Arabidopsis thaliana: one gene and its partners. The protein of the gene in region 3 interacts with the protein of the main gene of each other region in a pairwise test. Each region holds a gene or a part of one and is shown on either strand. Other genes may lie near its edges.

Region 1 (3,759 bases), on a different chromosome or scaffold from region 3:
GGTTTGATGATGTTGATGAAGTAGAAGAGAAATTTAGGCTTGTAGATGGGAATCTTTGGAAAGAGTTCGAGAATTTGTTGAAATTTAAAGAAAGCAATGAAGAAGAAGACGAGGAAGAGTGTTGTGGAGCAGTGAGGTCTAGAGTGACGGTGGGATGTAATGGGGAGTGAAGGGTGGGTGAATAGAAGGATTTGTTGTTGTTGTTGAATCTTGAATTGTCGTAGAGGTTATTTCCGATCATTTCAGCGGCTGGTGAGGAGGAGGAGCCAGAGAGGAGCATGGAGGCAGCGGCTGATGTGGTGGAAGCCATGGTGGTGGCTGAGAGTGGAAGAGAGTGGCTGTGTGTTCCTTCATAGGTTGTGATTAGTATAGACATGTCATCTGCACATCTTTGGACCTAAAACATACATAATCGAGGACAAATAGTTAGATCGTTTCTTTTTATTTGTACACTGGTCACAAATGTTTCTTACTTTCTATAATACCATGGAAACGCAAAGGCAAACGCAAAAAATAAAATAAACTGAATGATACATTTTTATCTTAAATTATGTTGTTCAGTTTAAATTGAATGATACATTTTAACAACTAAAATCAGATCCAACTCAAACGGAAATGAAAATAAAACCAGACGAAAAATTCAAACCGATTTTTTATTCCATTCTTAAATAGACTATATAGAATACGAAATATACCTGTTTTCTAACGGGACATCCAGGTGCAACCGTGCAGCGATAATATGCTCGTGGACATGGATTTCCTTTCGCAATCTTTTGTCCATATTTTCTCCATTGACAACCATCATTCATCTATACAACATAATTAATAAACATGTCCGAATCAACATTAGTCACATATAAATAATCAAATCTTTTAATTAACGTTATAGATCAACTTATTTAATGTATAATTTAAAGGACGTACCGTTGGTGTGTCACATCTTGCTCTAACACAAACTCTAGCTCTCTTAACATGGTTTTGTTGACCGGCCTCACCGTCAGCATCGCCACCGGAGGCTGGTGCTGGAGAGCTTCTCTTCCCCGTAACTTTACCTGGCGCCCAAGCTTCTTCCGAGCCAGAATTTGCACGATTCTCCATAGATAAACCCTCTTTCGGTTCACCTCCGTTGCCATTATTGATCCCTAAGGTCAAGCCGGCCTTAGTCAACTCTTCGTCAGCGTTGACTTCTGCGCTGATTGCGTCCGTTTTCTCTTCCTTTTTGGGGACGCTATCACTTGGGGAAGAACTTCTTCTCCCTAGTGAAAGCGATACAAGCTCGCGTTCTTGGTCAAAAGAACTCAAATCCGTCGTCGTTGGCTTGGGATGATCAACCATGTTTTGATTTTTAGTTGCGGTGTTTGAAGGTTCTTGTTGAATTATGTCGAAGAATCTGAGCTTGAGAGATTTGTAATCACTTTCAATTCGTTCGAGCATTCCTTTAAGCTTCTCGTTCTCTTCCTTCACCTCGCTCATCTCTGCCTTGGCAGATTCAAGTTCTTGATGATCACCATCACCCTGATTAATATCATTGAATAAAAAAGTTGATTAATTTCTCAACTAAATCTAAAAATGTTCTTTATTCTAAGTTTCTAACACATCATACTTCCATTCTTAATTCTAACGAATTATTCAATATTTCTAGATAGATAACTAATATAATCTTCCCGTTTCCATAAAAAAAATGAACATGGTAGAGTTTTGAGTTTTTCTTTTTAAACCAATTACGATAATAAGAAAAAAGAGAGAGGCCATTATAGAGTGGAAGAGACATCTCAGGATACAAGAATTACGTTAAAGCATAAAACACACCGATAAAGAATAAGAACGGTCAGTTTTCTGGTTTTGTGATCTAAATTATTTCCATATACATGTATAATTTTGTATATGCACATATAGAGTTGGTATTTACCTTATTAGCTTCATGGATTTGAACAGATCCAAATTTATCCTTAAGAGGAGACTCTGAAGAGGGTAATTTCAAAAGAACCTCCATTGTCAGAAATATCAGAAGATTTTCGTCTTCTTCTTCTTGTTTGGATTTTCTTTTCTTTTTGTTGTCTGTTTTTTTCCTTCAGAAACATATTATCAAACCCTTTACTTATAGCCATTTGTGTTTGTGTGTAGTTTCTTCGAGGGGACCCAAAGCGTCAACACTTCAACATGTTCAATTTTTTTATTTCATTTTTATTGAATTTCAGTACCTTTTCCTCCAATCATATCTGTGTTATTTATTTTAAACTAACTAGCGAAAAAAGAAATTATTTCCTGACTTTGTTGGTAATAATACTACTTCTCCGTTTAAATAGGGTCAATTAAAAAAAATATTACAACTAGTACATCGAAAACGAATGATCAAACTTAATAGAATTCCTTACTGGTATTTTGTTAAAAAACATATAACACAAATAAAATCAAATATTTATAACCATATATACGTGAATCCAATAATATTTAAATTAAATCTAATGAAGAACTTTTAACATGATGAAACTGTGATGAATATAACAGAAAGTATAAACTTCCTTCTCATTAAGTGAAAGTGTAGGTAAAGTCTATATGGATCTTGGTTATCAGATCAGAGTATTATTTAAATGTCCAAATGCATTAAATGAAACCAATACTTACAAGAAAGAGCCTAAATGTACGGCGTCAAATAGAGATTCTATAATGTGAAAGGATATGTCCTTGAAGCTTCATGGGAGAAGACTTCTTCTATCTATTGGCCTCACATCAAATGAGCATTCGTCAACTCTCTAAAACTTAATATTGTTTCTTTATCGAGTGTATTTATTAGTCCTCCCTCATCAAAAACATGTTTTATATTCCAAATATCTACAAGTTTATACATCCATAGACATAACATTGAATTAATCCATGTGTGATAAAATTTCTGATTGATAATCGAAATGATTTTGCTCTTACCATTTTAGTGACAAAAATTGCCATTTTATCGTATCTTAAGTTCCGTTACTTCATTATTTAGGGTTTCTAACGTTTTTGTTCTGTAAAAGTTTCGAGTATAATTCAACAATAAGTCATTAAGAAACAAATCTAAAAGTCAAATCATGCAACAAGAGAAAGGAAAACAGTATTAAGCATTTGATTATTGTTATATATGTAAACCTTGTTCATATGGTAGGCCAAAGGGTGCGTATACTGGTCAATACGCAGGTCACACACGGTAATTATATGATTTTGTCAACTATTGACTTTGTTATTAAGGAAATTAATCCTTTTTTTATGTCCCAATGCTATTATCATATTCCTGTTACATCTTGTTTCATTTTACAGCCAACATACGAATGTCAAATGCTTCACATAGTTGATAGTTGTCAAATTTCGTCAGTGACGTAACGCTGCATGGCGTTGAAAAAATAACATGCATTTTTTTTCCGTCAAAAGACACTATTTGTTCTATTCTCTTATTTTATATTTATTAATAATTTAGTTTCAACTCAAGATATAACGAAATATATTTTATCATTATCTATAGTTATACGCATATATATAAGCGTTACTCGAACACAAGTATGATAAAATTTCGAAGAGATTACATTAAGTAGCTAACCATTTTCTTATTAATGTATAAGCTAGCAAATTGTCGTCTTTCCTGTCTCCAATTTTTCAAACCGGGCAATTTATTAGTTCTAATTTCAAATCAATATTTGTATGGCCCGTATTATAAGAAACAAATGATTTTTATTTTTGATGGCTCAACATTTAAAAAAATTATTTCGTGAATGTGATTAAATTTAATTA
Region 2 (3,759 bases), on a different chromosome or scaffold from region 3:
TAATCATTCTACAAAAAAAAACTTTATATCAATTTCCACTAATTAACCTAGATTACCACTTATGATTAAACTTAAGGAATCATTTTAATAATGCCCTAAATGTGGCCAAGTCATTGGTTTATATGGCAAGTGACTTTGTGATCCCAATAATTTTTTGGTCTAGTCGTCTAGGCAACTAGCGTACCTTTGTTTTAGAAAAATTCTAGAGTTTCATTGTAAATCAATGGATACGTATGGATGGGTACAAACTAGAAAAGATAATCAATCCATTGGGCATTTCTTCCATAGAAAATAAAGTGGCTTTAAACGGATGGGAGGGGGCATAAAACATAATCAAGCATTAATAGCCATTTAAATTAATGATTAAAAACGAATGATGCGATTTTGGAGATAGACTTTGAGTGGTAAACAAGGGCAAATGAAAAAAAAAACTTGGGAATTTTATTTGGTGTTAGTGGTAGGGGCATCATTTCATTTCACAATCTACCCTTTAGGGGTTTTAAGGGTTCCCTTTAATGCAAAGTATTGCATTAAGTACGTAGCTAAACATTTATACGACTGAGTCAAGATTTCTAATAAAACAAAAAACAAATTCTATGCGTAAGATGAAATTCTATATTCAAACAGAAATGGTATTTACGGTATCGATGTCTCTTGGTTTTTATTTTATTGGCTTTAGTTTCATGTCCTCTTACTAGCAAGCTTGAACAAAACATTGGCATTGGTTCTCTTTCTCCATCTCAAAGAACATTATGGTTTAATCTTGATTTGATTTATACATGTTTACCCTTAGTCATGTGTGTTTCATAAATCATATCTCCATTTTGGATTTGATCTATTTCATAGAAAACTTTGCTCTATAGTTCTAGAGCTCTAGAGTTTCTCTTTCTACTTGTCAAAAATCATAAACCTTAACATGTAGTAGTGATATCTCTGTTTTTCTTTTCTTCTTACAAACCTTAAACAACAAACTTTTTTTTATCATGATTTTTTTTCTTATTTTTAAACCCTCAAAAGTGAATATATTGATATATCTATCTCTACTCGTCAGCAAGCTTTCCTCATGCTTCTCTCGTCATTCATTTGCTTTTTCATAATGATGTTGTCTTATTGTCTACATTGTTTTAAGGAACGGTTAGCTACGATTTGTTTATACATTTAAGTAGGCTCAGAATTATGCCAACAAAAGATAGTTTCAGAGTTTATTGCAACAAAAAATAGTTTACAAAAAGGGTCCCAAAACCCATTTAATCATTTAAATGATTTAGGGTACTGTTACTAATTATGATATGTGACTGTTGAAAACTTCTACAATGTTTATAGCATTTTTTGTAATGGAACTCCCAAAAACCCTGAGGGCTCTTAAAGATCACTAGGTTATTAAAGCAGAGACTCACTAATATTGTCATTATCTTAAGCTGACAAAAACGTAGAAAAATCCAAAAAAATAAATGGCGGAGGAAATTGACCAAAACGCATATATAAGGATTATGGAGTAAAAGCAACTTATGGTAGTTGGAGAGAAATTAACCAATAGAAATACTCAAAGGGCGCGTTTATTGCCATAATCTACGCCCCCTCCATATTTACACACAACCATATCATAATATTACCAAATATGAAAATTATATGTGCATTATCTTTATTACATAAACAATAAATACAGTTTATTATTAATATAAGAAAAAGATAATTTTTGATTTTATTTTTAGAGTGATCTTGGCCGTAGAAAATGAGGTGATGAAAGTGATGTGTCAAAAAAATCAGGAAATAGCCATATCAAGCATGTAATCCCTAATTACGGTCTAAAGGAATTAAAGATTACGGTCTACTTAAATTCAACATATCTACATGAACCTTATGAAAGGCTTAAGGGACGAAATTAAAATAAAATGATAACACAAGGGTCAATTTTATCTACAGTCACCAAATTAAAAATCAGATTAAGATACATTAAAAAGTCATTATCTCACAAAATAAATCTTTTCTTTGCTCTTTCATTTGTAGCTCCTCTCTCTCTCCGGCGCTAACGGGATGTCCTCACCATAACGCCGTTAAGTCTGGAACCCGTTTGAACGGAATTATCAAAACGGGAAGGAATATTCCGTTTGAATGGCTCTGGAACAGTTAGGATTAGGAGTGAGCGCCGTTGACGGTGGAGAGAACAGTAGCGCGCCGTCAAATGACGGTGGAGATGACGGCGTTAAGACGGCGAGACTTCCTCGTTGGACGAGACAAGAGATTCTGGTTCTGATTCAAGGGAAGAGAGTGGCGGAGAACAGAGTCCGGCGAGGGAGAGCGGCGGGTATGGCTCTCGGGTCGGGTCAAATGGAGCCTAAATGGGCTTCTGTTTCGTCTTACTGTAAACGTCACGGTGTAAATCGTGGGCCGGTTCAGTGCCGGAAAAGATGGAGCAATCTCGCCGGAGATTATAAGAAGATTAAAGAATGGGAGTCTCAGATTAAGGAAGAGACTGAGTCCTATTGGGTTATGAGGAATGATGTTCGTAGAGAGAAGAAGCTTCCTGGTTTTTTCGATAAGGAGGTTTATGATATTGTTGACGGTGGTGTGATTCCTCCGGCGGTTCCGGTTCTTTCGCTTGGATTGGCTCCGGCGTCAGACGAGGGATTGTTGTCTGATTTAGATCGGAGAGAAAGTCCTGAGAAGTTGAATTCTACTCCGGTGGCTAAATCAGTTACTGGTAAAATTCAGATCAAAGTTTAAGTTTTTATTTTGTATGTTCATCAGAATGATTCCATTTCTTATGAAGTTCAATTTTTTTGATGAAGATGTTATAGACAAAGAGAAGCAAGAAGCTTGTGTAGCAGATCAAGGTTTGTTTATCTCTCTGTGTGTATTTGCTTGATCTATTGCTCTATATGCTAATCTCAAACTAGTTTTAGAGCTCTAGAGTGTGTTTCTCTTGAGTCTTGACTATGTAGTTATGTTGTCATGTAGATAAATGATGTTTTCGTATTCTAAAATGCATCTCAAATTGTGTTATAAAAGTAGTTTAACAATCTTCCCTATGGTGTGTGATCTTTTCGTTTATGTTGAAGGGTCTCTATGTTCTTGTTTTTATACTAAAATGTTGAGTTTGAACTTGAAGGTAGAGTGAAAGAGAAACAGCCAGAAGCAGCAAACGTGGAAGGTGGATCGACATCACAAGAAGAGAGGAAGCGTAAACGGACATCTTTTGGTGAAAAGGAAGAGGAAGAAGAAGAAGGAGAAACAAAGAAGATGCAGAATCAGTTGATAGAGATACTAGAAAGAAACGGGCAGTTGTTGGCGGCACAGCTTGAGGTTCAGAATTTAAACTTAAAACTAGACAGAGAGCAAAGAAAAGATCACGGTGATAGCTTAGTCGCTGTTCTCAATAAGCTCGCTGATGCTGTGGCAAAAATCGCGGATAAGATGTAGATTTAGTAAAAGTTAGTTGTATATCACTTTGGCCATTACTTCTCATTCTTCTTCTTCCTTTTTTTTCAATCATTTATCACCATTGTTGATTGAATATTGATGCCACCACAAGAGGTTATTATACACATCTTATATAAACATTGAGATTTATACGGGTTTAGGATATCATTTGCCTTAGTGTTACCTTTTGACTGATTTGAACATCTTGATGTGTTGATGATTTGTTGCATAGCATGAAATTGAGTTTTCATCTTTCTTGCTTCCCCTAACAACAGGATTAATAACATAATATTAAATGGTATACGTAGTCATATGACCCTTGAACATATACAAATAGTT
Region 3 (3,759 bases):
TATTCATAACACATATATATAGTTAAATAAGATATTGATCCGCAGTCGGACATATATAATCCGAAAAGTTTTCCAAATTTGCGTTGCCATGACGCCCATGCCAGATTTTAAGTCTACAAGTATGCAAACCAATAAGTAATGTCGATCGATTACACAATTTTTACTTCCGTTTTCCCTCCTATATATGACAAAACCAACCAACTCTAGTGATTAAGTACCATACACACCTAATGATAAAAATTAAAATAAAATAATGCAATTTCTTTTTGTGGTAGAAAAAATAATTCCACAAACCTCCTCACCCTTTTTCACCAGTCAAACTAATTCATAAGCAAAAAACAAGTAAAAAAAAAAATACTATATATGAAGTACCCGAGTATATTTAAATAAGTTGAGAAAAGAAGTACTAGATGATAGTATGAGATATGGATTTATCAAAGGGAAGCGGGGAAAGTGGCGGAAGAAGAGAAGATTTCGTCAAGTGTCCCGTTCATAGAGTCTCTGCATTGAAAGTCTTGTTGGATTGACATAATCTCTGCTTCGTTCATAGAAAGTTGAGGGAAATCTTGGAGTTGAAGAGGAGGATGATATGGAAGCTGATGAGAATAGTTTGAGAAAAGATGATCATGATCGTCCAGAAGAGAAGATGAGAAATGAAGAGCAAATATGGATGAGCTGTTTGCTTCGTCTAAAAGGACCCCTTGAGTTAGCTCTGATGAAGATGTCTCCGCGGATGCTCTTTTCAAGCTCTCGTCTTCAATATAATTACCATCACATTTTCTCCACTTCTTCTCCTTTTCTTCTTCCTCTTCTTTTCCTACACTAGTGCTCTCTTCTTCTGCTTCTTCTTCTTCCCCTTTTCTCTTTGGAATTTGTATGTTCTTCTTAAACACTCGGCACAATGCATACGACTCCTGTTTTAGATCAACATTAATATTAGTCGATATGGTTTATCAAAAAAAAAAAAATTAGATCAGAAATGAATATAGATATATATGTTAATAGAAGTTTGTGCATGGGAAATAATTTACCTTCAAGGAGGAGGAAGGAGCGTGCGTGAGACGATATTCATGCATGACCCAATTAGTACGAAGGCCATGAGGAGCCCTTCCTCTATAATAAACCAGTGTCTTCTTCATTCCCATCTTCATCTTCTTTGATTCTACTGTACGATCTTTCCCCGTGGCCTTCCAGTAACCCGCTCGGGTCGCACGGTTCGTCCTAGAGCCATTTGGATACTTCTTATCCCTTGTGCTGTAAAAGTACCATTCCATGTCGTTTCCCGGCAAAAATGACTTTTCTGTTCCGCGTATTATCCAAATAAATAACTCATAAAACCTCCAATATCATATGTATGAATGCATCATGACCAATATATGTAATCTATAACGTCAGATTGACATAAACAAGCTGAACCATATATAGAGAGAGATATAAAGAGTTGGATCGTACCAGGCAAGTCCCATGGCTCGCATTTATAAAGATCAACTTCTGGGATGATCTCGAGCTCAATGGCTTGGCCGTTGACCTTCCTATCAAGATAGTAAGCCACCAGTTCTTCATCAGTGGGATGAAACCTGAATCCTGGAGGCAAACTCATGGGCGCCATTCAAAGTGTATGCGTTAGAAAACGAGAGAGAAAGAGATGAGAGAGATTAATTAAAGTGATTAGGATGTTCGTACGACATATGAAGGTGACTATATATAATTAAAAAGATGAGACTCTGAAGAAGATATGATATGGGAATGTGTAAAAGTATGCCATGGGATTGGCATCTTCTGAGATTAATATTTTGTCTTACTTTGGGTTGCTTTTTGGTCAGTGTTTGTCATGATACTCATCACACATATTTTCTAAAACCAATATATATATTTTAAATAAAAACCTAACTCTGGCTTTTGAAGATTCTGCAAGTGTGAAAACCCTAGTAGGAGGAGAGACGGAAAAAGCTTTAGCAAGAAGGCCCCATCTCACAAATACTCACATATATGAATGTATATGCTTATAATTCCGGTTAGACCTTAACGTGGGTCATGAATCATTATAGAGGGATTTTTATAACGTTTGCTTTAAACCAAAAATGAAGGCTTTTTATGATTCAACAGTTTAGGGGACCCATCTCTTCTTCTCAAACCAAATCTACCTGGCGACACCTAAACACTCGGCTTTTTCTTTTCTTTTTTTTTCGGTTTGACAGTTTTGTTATATTGTTTTATGTTGTTATGGTCTTATAATAAGAATACTTATAAATTGAATTCATATATATGATTAAAAAATGGGAGAATAAAAAAGCAGGAGGCATCCAAGTCGACTTTGGCTTTAGTGTTGGGAGGCTTCTTTAGTCCCTTTTACATATGGATTAAAGACGTTGTTCGGCTCTTTTACATCATTACTCCCACACAATCTTTGACTCTCTTTCTCTCGGCCCTTCAATTTTACTAACTTCCGGTCAAATCTCTTTTGCCTCGACTCTCGGCCTCGATCCAAAAGATAAATTAAAAAAATAAGGACATCTTCATTCTTCACATGTATGATATATATAACTCATGTCATATATTAGATGTCTCGTTTACATGGTTTTTTTTCGTTTGCTAATATATATAATTCACATGTAGACGAAGAACATTGTAAACGGAATTTAACAGAATGAAGTAATCAAACGTTTTATGTAAGGAAATGATCAAATACTGAGGGAGTCCACAAGTTGCGACATATATAAAACTCCTCCATTCTTATAAAGTATAATATTCAAACTTCAAGTAAGTAACTCTCCCTTTTCCGTGAGAAAGAAATAACAATAACATTTTAGGGAAGCTTTAAGATGTGGTCACCAATAACTTAGGGAGAGAGAGAGAGAGTGACAGATACAAAAAACAAAAGATAGCAACTGAAAAATATTTTGGCGAAAGATGCTTTAACAGTTTAACTTATCAAACGACAACAACAAGACATGCCCCAATTGTTTCACCACTTTGTTTTTCTTGGTCACAAATCGAGTCTAAGTCTATATGAACAAGTAATTAATGTGAGTACTATATATAAAAAAAAATGTGACTATATATATAAATGTTGTATCACAAATGCAAAAGGAATGTGGATTAATTAATTAATAAAGACAACGAGGAAGCTAACATGCAAGCCTAACTAAAGACATGCAACCTTTGATACGATCTAAGGGGAAGCGAATAAAGCTAATTAAGATCTAAGCATCTTATCTTATCAACCCTTTTATATTTCCATTTCACATGTATCAAGTACCTATACTCTTTCTCAAGCTTATAGTATTGATATCTAGAGTATCAAATAAACATTAATTAATTAGACGTAACACAATAGTGACATTATTAAATGAATAGTAAACAAACTTTACGTGTATATATATCCATGACGAAATTGGCAAAGGCGGGACTCTATGGGGGAATCATGATAATACATACATACGATATACATGTTGACATGTATCATGTATCATGATAATACATACATCATCCCTTTTTTGTTGGTTTGTTAATAAAATGATCATACATCATCTTAAACATCAACATCAATCACAATTCTTCTAAAAGAGAAGAAGAGTCTTGTTCAGAAAAAGTAGCATCTGATTCCCTACATGTCGGTTTCCAAAACATATTTTTTTTCCATCTCATATTAGTTTGTGCTAAACAAACTGATCCAAGGAAAAAAGAAAAGCCTTTAAATAATACAAGTTGGAATCCCTGTGTCTCTAGAGATTCTTGCTTTCATGTTTTTTCACGCAT

What was found.
Region 1: the proteins of NAC020 (region 3) and WRKY72 interact in a two-hybrid assay, tested with the Arabidopsis thaliana proteins (one large-scale study listed by BioGRID).
Region 2: the proteins of NAC020 (region 3) and AT2G33550 interact in a two-hybrid assay, tested with the Arabidopsis thaliana proteins (one large-scale study listed by BioGRID).

The regions. Positions count from the first base shown.
Region 1 is NC_003076.8:4,902,660-4,906,418, reverse strand, and holds the start of WRKY72 (WRKY DNA-binding protein 72), read right to left. Parts: upstream 2,130-3,759; 5' UTR 1,994-2,129; coding exon 1,910-1,993; intron 1,547-1,909; exon of another isoform or gene 1,516-1,546; coding exon 925-1,515; intron 810-924; coding exon 696-809; intron 398-695; coding exon 1-397.
Region 2 is NC_003071.7:14,209,841-14,213,599, reverse strand, and holds AT2G33550 (Homeodomain-like superfamily protein), read left to right. Parts: upstream 1-1,906; 5' UTR 1,907-2,112; coding exon 2,113-2,701; intron 2,702-2,789; coding exon 2,790-2,834; intron 2,835-3,109; coding exon 3,110-3,420; 3' UTR 3,421-3,618; downstream 3,619-3,759. UniProt on the Arabidopsis thaliana protein: Transcriptional repressor that binds DNA and plays a negative role in regulating microbe-associated molecular patterns-(MAMPs, e.g. flg22, elf18, chitin, and LPS) triggered immunity (PTI) by negatively regulating immune gene expression.
Region 3 is NC_003070.9:20,279,281-20,283,039, forward strand, and holds NAC020 (NAC domain containing protein 20), read right to left. Parts: upstream 1,673-3,759; 5' UTR 1,610-1,672; coding exon 1,453-1,609; intron 1,301-1,452; coding exon 1,032-1,300; intron 915-1,031; coding exon 435-914; 3' UTR 227-434; downstream 1-226.